Lytechinus pictus: one gene and its partner. The protein of the gene in region 1 interacts with the protein of each later gene in a biochemical or structural test. Links are inferred from orthologs where the notes say so. Each region holds a gene or a part of one and is shown on either strand. Other genes may lie near its edges.

The links. The genes of interacting proteins can lie anywhere in the genome.
Region 2: the proteins of general vesicular transport factor p115-like (region 1) and golgin subfamily A member 2-like form a complex in vitro, tested with the Homo sapiens proteins (2 studies listed by BioGRID). The link is inferred for Lytechinus pictus from reciprocal best matches to the Homo sapiens genes USO1 and GOLGA2.

What each region holds. Positions count from the first base shown.
Region 1 is NC_087262.1:22,092,125-22,100,166, forward strand, and holds the start of general vesicular transport factor p115-like, read right to left. Parts: upstream 3,046-8,042; 5' UTR 2,954-3,045; coding exon 2,888-2,953; intron 1,215-2,887; coding exon 1,128-1,214; intron 550-1,127; coding exon 405-549; intron 1-404. Other genes in the region: very long chain fatty acid elongase 5-like, read left to right, coding at 5,937-6,080, 6,505-6,629, 7,312-7,747. UniProt on the Homo sapiens protein: General vesicular transport factor required for intercisternal transport in the Golgi stack; it is required for transcytotic fusion and/or subsequent binding of the vesicles to the target membrane.
Region 2 is NC_087259.1:22,002,546-22,010,290, reverse strand, and holds the start of golgin subfamily A member 2-like, read right to left. Parts: upstream 3,112-7,745; 5' UTR 3,092-3,111; coding exon 3,044-3,091; intron 1-3,043. UniProt on the Homo sapiens protein: Peripheral membrane component of the cis-Golgi stack that acts as a membrane skeleton that maintains the structure of the Golgi apparatus, and as a vesicle thether that facilitates vesicle fusion to the Golgi membrane.

The DNA.
Region 1 (8,042 bases):
GCAGAAATGTCAGGAAATATATCCCTATACATCTTTTAACAAAAGAGAATAAATGTTAGTGTTCAAATGGCTTTTACTTTGAAAATAACAATATTCCTGAAAAAAAATTCTTAATTTGTTTAATGTTTATAACATCACACACACAATAAATGGCCAAAATGGAAATATCAGTCCCTATATTTTTAAAGATTTGAATGTTCGAATAACACATTTTATTTACTCATTGATCGATCGATTCAGACATATTTTGACTAAATGACAAGATCAGTATATATATATATATATACAGTTTTTCATCCCAGTCCTGTTAATAATGATAACACTTACCTAAAAAAACATCAAAATCAAATTAATAACAAAGTTGTAGATAAACTTTAAAGACAGAGCATTTAATGAAATCTTACTTTGTTCCTCCTCCTCTGTGTGTGCTGATAGAAGATTGAAGAGCGTATCCAGAGCATAACCAGTGATCTCAGCATCGGTCCGGTCAGTCTCCAAGACATTCACCAATATATCCATGGCTTGGGTACCGACCTCTAGCCGATATTTCTGTCAATGTAAACAGATGAAAAATAATATCATTTCCCTAAATACATAACTATAAACAAAAATGAGACTGTAACAAACAAGAAAAAGTAATACTTATAAGAAATGGTGGATAGAGCAACATACATGTACAGTACATGGAATTCAGAAAGATTGATTTATATTCTCAACAAACTTCCTTTCATTAACATTGGAAAGTATGTTTGTAAAGAAATGTTTTTAAGTTTCACATAAAAGTTGGCAAAAGTATCAGTATTTTAAATATTTCCATTACTTTCCCCAACTTTAGCTGATTCAAATTGATATCACTTCACAAACTAGTGTACAACATTTTGTTGTTTTTCTATTTGTCTCTCATTTTTTTTTACATTATACCTAATCATAATCAGGCTTTATAACTAAAAGCAAGCATCAATATTATGGCTACAAAAATGCTAAATAGGGCACCGTAACAAAAATCTGTGCCACGTATAACTCTTTAAATGGCAATCCTTCTCAGAATATATTATAAGTGGCTGTCCGATATTTAGAACAAACTTACATTTATTATTTGGAGTAAATTTAAGACCATGGTGTCTTACCTTGGAGAGAGCTTTGAGAGCCCTGACTGCATCTCGTCTGTCATCCAGGAGCGTGGAAGACTGCACTCGATCACATATCTTGGCAATCTAGAATTATACAGGAGATATATTCATGCTATTACTTCTTTAGTTAAAGAAGAAATATAGGGACAGTCACATAGATGAGAAATAATCTTGAATTTTTTAATGAGTACTGTTTGGATAGATATAAAGTGGGATGCCCCTGGAAGTCTTGTCTACATTACACAATTCAACATTGTTCATTTTGTGACATTGTAATATTTAACATTCTAAGTGTTTGCTAAACCCTTTTAATGTAATCAAATTTGCATGTGAAATCATGTAAACACATATGAACTAATTTGAACGAGTATTTTTACGCCACCATCTCGGCCTTTGTAATGGAAAGTAACTAAGCAATACACATTGGCCGATTACTACATGTAAGCCAAACTCTGCAATTCAAGTTAGAGTAAAGTCCCCAAATATCGGACAGTTCCAAATATCCAACTAAAATGACTTCAACTCCATCCCCACAACTAAAGGGACCTGCAATGGTAGGGGACTTGTATGTAATACATTAATATACCTGCTATGAATTGCACACAGTAGATCCAGGTTGAAGCTTAAATAAATATTCCAGGGGTTAAATCCAGGGGTAAAATCCATGATTTTGACTTCCAAAGATTCTTATGACCCTCGCTAATTATGGACTCAGAAAGGTTGTAAGGGGGAAGTGATTTTCACTGGAAATATCGCCGCCGAGATTGCACATGTTCAATCTATCGCAAAAAACCTGCAATGGCCGCCGCAGGGGTTCCCCACAACGAGAATTTTGACACCCTTCCAAATATGGCACTCTCCCAAACATCGGACATATCGACCAATTAAATTGGAAATGCGTGCTGTTGACGCGCGCATGCTCGTTTTCAAAACGCAGCTGAGCGAAGACGTCCGATGTTTAGAGCCGAAAGAGGTCCATCGGGTAAGTAAATAATTATTATTTACCTATTTCTAATAGTGCAGTGACAATTAAAATTGGCATTTGCACAGCTGAAATAAGTTATTCTCTCAACAATCAAGCAATTATTTGGGGGTTTAGAGCGTGATTTAAATCGCTGAAATTGATCGCCGTGCACAACTCTATGTGTCCAACATTTGGAAACTGCATCCGATATTTGGCAAAAAACAAGCTTCTGGTAATAAGTAAATAATTTCCGCTCACCATATTTTTTTCAATTCTATTTTTTATGACATTAATATTCCACATTTGTACTACAGAAATACACATGATTTTTATTTGATGCAATAATTGTATTTTTTTTTGGGGGGTCCAATTATGATTAAGTGTCCGATATTGGGCACTTTACTCTAAGACTTAGTTAACTTCATTTTTTTTCACAAACTTTGACAAAAATCCTAGTTAAGCAGCTGCAGTGCAACAAAGACCAAAGTCAAAGAACAAGATTTTAAGAAACATGGACCTTATGAAGGTAAATCCATCATCATGTATTAAATCAAAACAGAAACAAAAACTATAGTTGGGTCTACATCCAAACTAAAAGTGAACAGTTGAAAATAAGGTGTTAAACAATTAGAGTCTAGGCTACATGTATTTGACATTTTAATATTACAGACAGGAATTGTAACGCATGGGACTGGCTCATAATTTCTAAATATCATTCGTGAATATGTGCATGTTTTACGGCCCAAACAAATGGATATAGAGAGCTGAAATTGATTAACTCATTTCAACATACCGTATCTGCCCCTGACTGTTGATTTTCTGGAGTGTTTCCTCCCAAAACCCGACTGAAAAAGCTCATTTTCCTGGAAAATTCAGTTATTTTGCGAGTCAAGAAAGGATTAAGTGTGGAACACGTAGCACAAAACAAGTGCAAATTGTAAACGTAGATGGCGGTATTGCGCTAAAGACAGAGTTAGTTGAGGTGCCGTGGCCGAGTGGTCTAAGGCTATACATGGAAAGTGGTCTAAGGCTATACATGGAAAGTCCGGGGTTCGATCCCCGGCCACGGTACCTATGCCCATGAGCAAGGCATTTAATCTACAATGCTCTTTTATCCTGCTTTCAAATAAATGGAAATGCTATATGCATTATTGGAAACTAGATGTGCACTTGTTTTTTTTTTTTAATTTACTACTCTGGCTAAAGAAATTGGTCTTCACAGTCTAGTCGAGTCGGGGGATCTCTTTAGACCATAGAAATATATCTCTATGCTTTGAACACAAATGGATTGATTGATTGATTGATTGATCGATCGATCGATTGATTAATTGGTTGATTGGTAATATAATCAAGTATAATCTTTATGATGAGCATTCAGCCGAAGTGACCATAATTAAGACAAACTTAATTCCTTTGCCATATACGCAGTGGGAGTTTACTTAGCTGGGATTATATGATCATTTTTGCTTCTTTCAAAACTCATTTTATTGCAAATTTAAAAAGAAAAACCAAAACTGTGCTCCAGATTTATTTACATAAAAAACATGCAACGATCCCTCCAATTCGGCTTAGTCGTTACGCTCTTGTCCTCCTTTTTGTATAGGCCTAAAGGGTCTGAGTGTTTTAAACATTCCGCCTGCCCTCCTCCCCCCTGGAAAATAATACATTCACACTACCATGGAAACAATATATACATGTATGGGCCCTAAGTTTTCTTAGTTCACAAAGCCAATTACAGGGAAATATATACACTGCCGTTAAAACAGAAGTGTGCCCCCCCCCCCCTTGAAAGTGAAGATCTTTTTTTTTGCTTGTCAAATTTTTTTGTGAACGTAATTAATGTGCTAACTTCCCCTTTCGAAAAATCCTGGATCCGCCCCTGTATATATAAAAAAAATATTTTTTCTTTGTATGTTTTATCAAATTAAATCAACATAATTTACCAAATTGAAAATGAATATCGGGAACAGGGCGGCACTTGAAATTGTCTCAAAATTGCTGCACATCAGAACCCCCTGTTATAAAAAATAGTTTCCAGGGCCCTGCAGTCATCCCCCTCCACACACACACACATTCAAAACCGTTCACCGGCCCCTGTACAACAACTTGAAAGGGACAAATTTGTCTTTAACCGAAAAAAAAATACCGTAAATCATTTCCTTCGTCTACATTCAGAAATAATTGTTTGCAACATTTTTCCCCCTTTCTCACAACTTTCTTATGAAACAAATTAAACAATGAATATAAAATTACGATTTAGAAAATCAAACTTAAAATTCTAGGAAAATATAGCAAAATAGACAGTTCTATTGATCTATTCTAATCTAGTTAGGTTAATATATTTGTTCATCCTTTGCTCGTTTAATAATCCAACAAAACTCGACTCCGAAAATGCCACGCCCACCCTAACAAAAAAGTACCGAACACGAGATCTAGGGTAGCAAAATGATTAGTCTGCATTCACATACGTATTTTGTTGATTGTCAGTGACACTTTTTTATTAATTAATTTCATGCAATCAAGAAGGTTATAAGCAGTTAGAATTTAAGTAAGGAATAAGGTTCATTTATGACCTTGTTAATTATAAACTTGCTTTATTATGAGTGATAATAAACAAGTAAGGATAGTGTATCGTGTATCATGATGATGACTAAATTATTCTTCAAACTAAGACTAAATAGCTTGCAGCAGAAAACGAGAAGTTGAGAACTAAATTTCTGCAAGAAAAATAGCTGAAACGGGTAAGTGTGCCATTTATTTTGTATTTATAGATCATTTTATATTACTGAGATGTCAATATTTGATCCACTCTGTTGGAAAATATGTGAAATTAGTTAGTGTTTTGGTATTTGATTTGCAAGATCCAAATTAAACATATTTTTTGAAAACATGATTTTAATCCAGTCCCACATATAGACTTTCATATGGTAATATAAGAAATGCGGGGATCGAACGTGAAGTAGACCTAACTAACGTTAGGCACGCGCCTTTTAAGGCTGACGAATACAATTATGGCTTTGTCCAGTCATAATTTGCAGCAGAACTATGCCAACTGGCATGTCCCATGACGATAGTATGTAGACTCTAAATGTCATTCAGCCTTGCCGTAAATGCTTATTAATGTCGTGTTAAGCCTATTATAAGGCTAAGCCTGGCAAAAATAAGATATATTCTGACATAAAGCGTGGGAAACATAATGATAGATTTGACAGAATCAGATCTAATGTTATTCGCTATGATGGAAGAAGTTAGATATTGTGAAAACACCATTCACTTGACAGTGGCTCACATAAGTCCTGACATTCATTGGTTTCTTATTTCCACTCCCATTTGTAGTACACAAAAGTGTACATTAAATTACACTTAAAGAAAAAATATGTGGATTCCAAATTATCAAATAAATGACAACATGTACTATATGAAGGCATGCCAACAACATCAAATAATATGCGAGGCTTTTTTTTTTGTGGCACTGATATAATCAAAAGCTTCAAAAATATAATGCTTTTGAAATCCAAAGATATACCATTTACTGTTTGAATATTTTGTATTCAAAGGGTAAACAGAAATAGCCATCTTATTATGGGAAATTGAATTGATACTAATATATTCCCAATGAATATGGAGCCAGACATTAGCTCAGCAGAACAACAAATTATACAGAGACTGCAGTCTTTTGTATACAGTTAAAGGGAACTCCATGCTGATAAAAATAATATGATTTCAACAAATATAGGCCTATAGACAAGCCTATAGATTTATGAAAATAAAATATACTTTCAGCCTGGCCAAGTACCCATTTAATGGTAATGAGCTCTTATTTTTTTCAAACAGGAGGGAAGATGGCTATACTCTCGGAAAGATTCTACCAGGTTGGTAATACCTTTGTTGGCCTACAGTCATTCCCTGTTATGATCATATACCTCATCCTCATCGCTCTTTCACCGCTCTACCAAAGAATGACCAAGCCATACTCTCTCAGACAAGTAAGTTCAGTTTGACTGTCCTATATCAAGTTCATGAATGACCTTGTTTTGTTTTTTCCACCTTCCTGCGTCAAAATAGGCTTAATCATTTTTTTTCCCTTTCAGGAATGGAGGAAAACTTTCAAAATCAGTAAAAAAAATCCTGTAAATCCATGCAGATAAATATCAGATCATCTAGTGTGGCACTTGTCGAACTCGAACTTACATTTATACAAATATTTTAAATGTAATCATCATGATCATGTACTCCATTATTTTTTGTTATTAGAAGTTTGGCTTATAAGATGCCTTCACATACTTCCTAGATATTTTTGTCAATTTTATATATTATGAAATTCTTAACTTACATTGTTTCTTTTATTTATGCAGAAACCCATACATGCAAAGTTAGAAATACGGATGTTTTATTTTTTTTGTTTTATAGATCATGGTAGTGTATAACTATACTTGTAGTTTTATCAGTGGCTGTACTCTGTTGGGATTCATCGTTGGAATGGTCAAGTCCGGATCCATCTTCAGGAAAGAAGGAAATGATGTACTAGAATACAGGTAGCATAATGTTTGAAATGATTCAGCAACAAGATTTTAAAATTGCTCCACACTATACACATGTAAAACCTATTCTTATTATCACCTCATGATCTTCATTACAATGTTCATTTTATTATTTAGCCTATTTCTTGACAAAGAATTGCTCTTTTGTTAACAATGAAAAGTGATTTATTTATATCAATTATTCAATTTCCTGATATCAATGATTTAAATCTTGATATATGAAGAAAAAGGATAAAGTGGTAAAATATGGCTTGCCATATGTAGGTCAGCATATGCTGGCTGAAATGTCCTTGCTGAATGTTTTCATTGAGATGAACTTAATGTGAGCTTTGAAGGTTTGCATAGTGGTAAGACTGGATTGAGAGGTTTACGGTAACACCATTTAAGTTAGTCCTGAAAAAGACTGTTCATTTATCTTTCGGTTATAGCTCTTAAAAGAACTGATATTCTCGACATTTCAAGCACAAGAGCTCTTTGCTCTTCTCAGGAGTCACAAAGATAAACCAGCAGTCTTTTTCAGGACTAACTTTAATACATTGTGTTACCGCAAGCCTCTCCATCCAAGATAAACTTAATAATCTGGTAATGATGATCGTTAGATCAAAGCAAGACTTTATTAGGTCTTTTCTAGGAGGTCCATGGTATTAATGGAGAATATTTGCCTTGTAACTTGCAGTTACTTCATGTACTGGTGCACCAAGAACATTGAGCTCCTTGATACGTTGTTCATGATCCTGCGCCACAAGCGTCGTCAGATCTCTTTCCTTCACGTCTACCACCACGCCAGCATGGTCCTCCTCACAGACTTTGCTTACCACTACTCTCCCTGGGCCGGAATTGCTTTCGGCCTCTCCATCAATTCGTTCGTCCACGTCTGTCTCTACTACTACTACGGCTACACAGCCCAGAAGACACTGCCTGGTGCTCCGACCTGGAAGCGCCACATCACCGAGCTTCAGATCACACAGTTCCTGATAGGTTTGATTCATAATACTATAGGCTACCTCCATCATGGTTTCTGTGTGTATTCTATGTTCTACGGTGTTAGTATGCTCTATTTGTTCTCATCTTTCTATTACAATGCCTTTTTACGTAAACGTAAAGGAGAGTAGAGAGATTAATTTGTACCTAAGATAAATAGTTAAACCAATTCCAAATCAACTCAAAGTTATTGGCCCGAATTTACAAAGGTGATTTTGAAAACCCACGGTTTAGTCCATGGTTAATGCACATTTCCTGTATAAATTATGCTTATTTTACCACGTTTATAAAAAAATGTCCAATGCTGATAAGTGCTTTTGTCACAGTGCGCCAAATTGACGCCTGTTGCCATGGTTAAGTACGCTATTTCATTCATGAGTCCACTGTTTGAAGAGTGGACTCATTAATTAAAAATAGTGGAATCAT
Region 2 (7,745 bases), on another chromosome or scaffold:
GGGAAATGTGACTGGGCCATTGGTCATGTAGGCCTAAGTAGTATCCAACAAACCACTTCGATATACTTTAAGAGGCTGTTCTCACTACGTTCCTAAAACTAGTTTACTGGAAACTAGTTTAGTGGAAACTAGTTTAACGCGTAGTGAGAACGGTCAAAGCGGTCTTGGAAGCGATCTTCCAAACCAGTTTGGAAAACCACCTCGCGATGTAGTTTTTAAGATCGCTTTGCCTCGTTTAACTGGTTTTAGCGTAAGTGAGGACACAACCGTTCTTCGGGAAGCGATCTTCGCACATTTTGAGCACGCTACTCCACACGACAGGTGTAGAATGCCTATGCTGCGGTTTCGAATTTCGCGCGAAACGTGTCACCCCACTGAGAGCGTTACCATAGCAACAAGAGCGCTTTTTAAAAGTGAAGTGATATTGAAAACCACTTTCGTGTGATCAAGTGGGAACGCTAGCAAAGCGATCTTCCAAAGTGGTTTCCTGAATCGGTTTCCAGTAAACTAGTTTAGAAAGCGTAATGAGAACGGCCTCTAATTCTTGGGGAGGCATACATCAGCCTCCATGATGTCATGAGCTGGTTCGATCTCGTTGGTATATTGATCAAAACTGTGTTTTATAGTGTTAAAGACCCCAATGCACTTGAGCTACTTCGTTTTATAGGAAAGATAACTTTTAAAATGTATAACAGAAGCTTTGGAGTGAATGCCCTAGCTGTTGCGACTTCAATGGGGTCAATTAATTACACCGTCTCGCACGTTTTGTGAACAATGGAAGGTGTGAAGATTGCAGTGAACACCTAACAATAAGAAGAATCTGTTTCAATTTAAGTTACGCAATGATCACTTGTGATCTCTCGTTGTGTTTCTTCAACCCGGATGAATCCCCCAAACCACATTGTCCAATCACGGACCTACTACAATAGTCAGCGTTTGTTAAAACGGAATGATAATCGAGGATGATAGTGTATTTGTGATGTAATTAAATAATGATAGTGGTGATAATGAAGGGGGATAAAGAGGAAGAAGAGGACGAGAATGATGGTGGTGGTAATGATTTTGATGGCGGCCGTGATGATGATGACGATAACATAATTATTTTTTTTCTTGATAAACATATTATGTGTGTAAATGTATAAAGAAGGAGGAAATTTTCTTTTTAAGAATTATGATATAAAAAGGACAAATAATTTTTTCCAGACCCGGTTCTGGAAATAAGACTAGACTTATATTATAATTTCTGAAACAACTGGGTCTGGAAAAAAGACTTTGGACTATTATACTTTTTGAAACAACCGGGTCTGGAAAAAGACTTTTGTGCACTTTTGTGCTTTATCAACGTATTACTATAGATTTTAGTTTAGAACGGATCAAATCCCTTCAAATTTATTACATTTTTGGGTAAAGTCATTATTACATTTGTGGGCGATCAAAAATTATAACATTTGTGGGTAAAGTGCATTAATACATTTGTGGGTTAAATTATTACATTTGTGGGTAAAGTGTTATTACATTTTTGGGCGTTGTTACATTTGTGGGTAAAGTGTTATTACATTTGTGAGCGATTTTCACATTTATGGGTGTAACAGGCCCCCCCCCCCCCATATGTGCATTTCTACCAATCGCCTATATTGTTGTTGTTATTATTTGATGAATAATTTTCATAGAAACAACTGGCTCAGAAAACTATTAAACACAGCCTTTCGTGAAAAGCTCCCCTGGTTGTCCCGAGAAGGTGTGTTTATTTGACTCCCTTCCCTCATCCCACCCTTTCAAGAAAAGCTATCCTGGTTTTCTCGAAAGGGTGCGGCCATTCCCACTTCGCAAACGCAAACGATCGTAACAAGTGGCAAGATAAAGAAAATAATACAGTACAGTATAATTTAATACATTTAGCACATTGCAGCATCTTTCCAAAAGAAAAAATGATGAAAATAAATCATATTTATGAAGTATCAATTTTCTAAACATAACAAAATACGGTGAAAATGAATTAATTATAGATTTTTGTTAATTCTCTTATGACAGCAGAAAACATGTGTTTGGTATACGAACCACAAGTGACAAAAGATTTCACACGCGAAGAGGGGCGAAATCGGAAGCTGAGAATTTTTTTTTCAGATATAGGCCGATCGATTTCAGCCATTTTAAAATTCTTATTTTTAGTAGGTATTTGTGATTACTTTATGGTGGAATTTTGATGAATTTTAAGAAAAGGTTTGATATGATTGAAAAAACTGAAGATTGTTCGGTATTATCCACTACCATTCATTACGGTAGTATGAATGTTATTCCAAGTTGTCTCAAGTACATGCACTCACCAGCTTGTGTGGTACAACATTATTTGCTGATTTTTACTTGTTAAGTCCTATTTATTACTAGTTTTATTACTTTTTTGTGCCTTTCGTCATTTATTAGCAGTTTTGAAGGCTTTTTTACCGATGGGGGTATTCACCCTTATATTAGTCATTTTGTAGCCGTTTTCCACAAGGGAGATATTCGCCCTTTATTAGCCGTTTTCCACAAGGAAGGTATTCGCCATTTATTAGCCGTTTTGTAGCCGTTTCCCGCAATGGAGGTATTCGCCCTTTATTAGCCGTTTTGTAGCCGTTTTCTCGAAGGGAGGTATTCACTATTTTATTCTGATAAAAATCATTGTTGCATACAGTTAGCTTTCCATAGTCGGTACACTTTTTTTGTCGCCGTTTTTTAGCCGTTTTCTAGCCGTTTTTCTGTTGGGAAAAAGGGAGAAAAAAGGGAGAAAAAACGGCGAAAAAACGGCGAATCACCCAAACCAGTCTGGCTCACTGTGTCAGTTACAATATGCTGTCCAAATGAAAACAACACACTGACACGAATGAGTGGGACCACTCACCACTTTCTACAAATCAATAAAACATCCACAAATTAAAGCAGAAAATACACGTAAAATTTAAAAATTAAGATGCAAACAATAGTCTACAAGTTTTCTGCCAATATATATACACATTGAATAATACATAAAAGATATGATATATTGTAGAAAAAGCATATAAACTACCTTTTTCCTCGCAGCTGCGAGCTTTTCTTCTCGAGAAATATCCGCCATATCTGCAGTGCTGAAGGGTTGAGTGTGTAAATTAATGAAAAAAGGTCATTGGACAGTAAAGATGTGCGTAGCATGACCGATTCATTCGCACACAATAACTATTTTTTCATCACTTTAGGCGGCCTTTCGCAGACACGTATGCAAGATCCAACGCATCAAAAAAAAAAAAAAAAAAAAATCTGCACTGATCTGAATTGTGATGATCCAAACATGACTGCGAATCATGGATTTCGGGATGGATTTAACCAATTTTTCGAGTTCAACTGAGTAATTTGTATACTTCGCATTATCATGACACCTAATAATGTGTGTTCATTCTCTTCATTGATTTGTAGAAAAATAAAAATAAAAGGCTAAAGAGAGAATTGGAAAAGATAAGGAAAAGTGATAAATTTCTGCATGACGCACGGAGGAGGGCATGGCCCTGGGAAGCGGGGGTGCTGCGACTTGTGATCTAGACTAAAAAGAGCACCCCCCCCCAAAAAAAAATCTGGGGGTGCTGTCGTATGCATCACCCCCTGAAAATCATGTTGGTATGCTAAAAATAGAAATTTCACAAAATCCGACCTGCATTTTGGAGTGAAACTCCTTTTCTCTCTTTTACGTTCTTCTTCTTAAAGTTCTTCTTTTTTTGCAAACCAGCACGCCTGGCCAGCACACCCTTTAAAAATTGCGCCCGCCCCCTCAGTGGTTAACAAGATCGCACCCAGTCTCACCTTATGCGATTCAATATGGCAGCAATCATTACAGTGAATATATATTTGTTTCTTTAAAAAAAATGTTTACCACGTACTGGCGTATAAATCCGGTCCGAGCATGGGGGGGGGGGGGGGCATGAAAGCAATATCTTATTGACCAGAAAATTAAAAATTTGGGGGACACCCCCACACCTATATAGGGCTAAGTAACTGTGTACATATTCCTTTAATCTTTCAATTAAAGGCCTTTCCGGATTTTTTTTTCAATGGCTATATAATTGTAATGAATTGTGTTACTACTGATCGAACTACATGTCCAGTTCAGCAAATGCGAGCGAGCGGGCAAATTTTCAGTAGTTGAAAGACATGATGACGGCAAAATCGTCTTTCATGAGGAGTGATTATTGGATAATGCGGCAAGTGAGCATAGCGACTGAGCAAATTTTCAATAGGTGGAAGAAAGAATGATGCCCCAACTGGGTTCACGGTACAGGGGTATATAGTATATAACTGGATAATTAATGGATAATACAATTTTTTCACTTGAAGGACTATTATCACGATGTCTTTTTTTTCGATGGCTATAATGTATTCGTTGTGACGAAACTACTGGATTACAGTTAGTATCCAAATACGAGCGAGAGAAGCGAGCGAGCAGATTTTCCATAGTTGGAAGACAGAATGATAACCAAATCGTCTTTCAATGAGTGTAATTATGAGAGAAATTGCGGCGGTGAGCGTACTTTGCGAGCCTTAAAAAGTTGCTACAGTCGATTAAAATGATGATGATAAGAGTATCATCAATAACGTAAACTTTAGAAGAATGTGAACAAGAAATATAAAAAGAGCAAATAGGGACTAAATAGTCGAGTTTTGTTCTATGAAAACTCATTTGCTCACTGGTTAAAGTGAGATGAGAATGAAAACAAAAATATGATCATGATTAGCCGGATAGCTTAGCCGGGTAATATAGGAGCGCCTTGAGCACCTAACAAGGTGGATATGTGCATGCGCAATATAAATACCCTATATTATTATTATTATATTATTATTATCGGGAATGAGGGTGCCATATAAAATGATCATAGGCCATCACAAGCCACAATATAATCTTAAAAAAGTGGTAATATCACAATGACATTGTATATGAAAAAAGGAAAGATTTTGAATAATCTTTAAGATTATATGGAGATGATGCAACATTCGATATTTTGAGCAAAGATTAGTGTTTCGTTAACGGCATTGATGTACGGTGACTCATCGTACACTTAACTTGAAGAATACGGTAGGCCAAATACAACACCCCCGCTTCCACAAAGATACCAGATGACCCACCCCCCCCCCCCCACAGGGGCCGCGGAACGGTTTTCAAAGTGGGGGGGGGGGCTGAGCTAAAAGTGGGGGCTGACCATGCAAAAAATCACAATCATAAAAATTGTAATTTTTACGTTTTTGTACACGATTTTGGAAGAAAGTGGGGGGCTGAAGCCCCCCCCCCCCCGCTTCCGCGGCCCCTGCCCCATATTCACGAGAGTGTATATTTAAAATATATTTTGAATCGTTATGATAAGTTATAATCATATTCAAAGGTAATTGGAATCACATATTCATTAATGGACTTAATATTACAACTAAACTCCCATGATTCATGCGACCGCGCGAGAAATTTTGCAATTTTTTTAAGTAGGCCAATCTAAGCACTTTAAAGATGAATCCACACGTTAACAGAAGTATTAACCATTTGATGATTAAAAAAAATATTTTTTCCATCTTGAAAAGTGGGGGATGATTGTACATGCCACCCCCCCCCCCCTCCGAAAAGTGGGGGATGTATCCCCATCCCCCTGGGATTTACGCCCTTGCTGTTTACTAAATATAGTTAAATCCTAATTTCATTAATATCAAATGATCTTTGATTAAAAACTTATTGTATTATCCGATAATCATCTCATACAATATGACAAAACATTTTTTTTCAATTAATCGGAACAAATCATGAATCATTATCAAATTTAAATTGCATATCTGAAATGACCTTTGACTTTCTCCTATAGTAACCTGGAATTACACTAATAATAATTTCTTATACATGTTGCATTACATTGTCAAGGAGTTTGTAGCTGTTGGTAAAATGAGGCCTATTGTGACAATAACATGAATAATCCGTTTATGCAGTTCTGGGTGTATAATTTAGGCCTAGGCCTATACATCGACCATTAAAACATGACCGATTATTAGGCCCTATAATCATGATAATTTGATTCGCATGTTTCTTCCATATCTATATCATTTTGTACTAAACAAGCTTAGCCTATCTAATGTCATTGACAAGTTTATATTGAGAGGTATACTTTGTAACTTTCATCGCTAGCGCGTATTTATAGTCGTCGTGTACACAGTAAAAACGCTGTTAAAGATTTTATACAACGTTGTTTACTATATGAACCTTACAGTATTTGTTTAACCGTTTAAACAATCATGTTTAATTTATTGAAAATTAGATATTGAAAATTAAACTTTGTTGCTTAAGATTTAAACACTTGTTTATACTGTTTAAACAATTGCTGCAAGGTTCATATAGTAAACAACGTTGTATGATTTTTTTTACCGTGTATAGGCCTATATACTGTAAAAAAACGCTGTTTAAAATTTCAAGCATGTTGTTTAAGCCCGTCACTCTAACAACTATTGTTTAAACTTTATAAACAACTGTACTCAATTCCTCTTCCAGGCTAGTGGGTTATTTGAAATATCTATATACTTATACCTCCACAATATCGTTCAGGAATAGGTTCCTTTATGATGTGGTATCTGTTCTAATATTCTGTACTCAGTTCCACCTTCTCAAAATGTGCACATCCCCATGCCCGACCTCCCTTGAGTATAAAGCCCTACAACCTAATTTGCAGACTTGGCGGGAAAGCAAAACCAGGTCCAAGACCCCCGCAAGACCTGCTGTAGTATGAATCAAATACTTATGAGCTCTGGGAATAAGGGCCAGAAATACGTATAATATAGGGAAAAACTAAGTTCACATCCGTGACTCATTATAGATCCAGGGGCGTAATGGTAGCCCCCCCCCAAAAAAAAAAAAAAAAAAAAAAAAAATCTTGCAAAATGTTTAGAGGAGAATTGCATCCTAATTTTAAGAGGTTTCTTCTCTATTTGCCGAATTTATATGTTGTACTATACCTGAAAACATAAAGATAATTCAATCGCTAATGGATATCTGCCTAGCTGGAATAAATAATACATAAATTGAAATATAAGGAAAGTTAATTAATGAGCAGATGAAATAAAAAAAAATCTTTGGATCATCCATTGAAGCTTGATTTGAATTCGTTTCAAAAGCTTGCGAATTATACCGTGGTTTATGGATCATCGAACGAAAATACATGCAGGCAAGGGCGTGGCGGCGGTGATGATGATGATTATGATGTAATGACGTTGATGATGCGGAGTGGTCAGAATTATATTTCGTGTCGATCATAAAAAAAGTCATGCACATGCTGTAATTGGTCATTTGGGATCATGTGACCATCTGTGCTAATTATGCGCGATCAAAATGAAAAGAATGGCTTCCCATCAGCCAATGATTTGCTTTCGTTATTATCCTCTTTTGTATGGGATTTACCTGCGTTGAGCCTGACCACCCTTTCCCCCTTTTTTCATTGATTTTTTTTTCAATTTCTCTACATGTATAAACTTAATCTAGTCTTCATATTGATTCAGTATATACGCAAAATCTTGGTGATCTATGACCAGCTTCTTCGTTCTCAACTGTTTATATGAAATAAAAAAATTCTCGAACACCTTCATCTGGATACAAAGTAAGCTTAGAAGCCCATACCTATATGGCCATCGTGGATACATTAGCGTGGGTAATTCCACTTTTCATGTCAGTTTTGGGCGTGATTTTGAACCTCCTTTCAATGGGTGCCATATTGAGCTTCAAA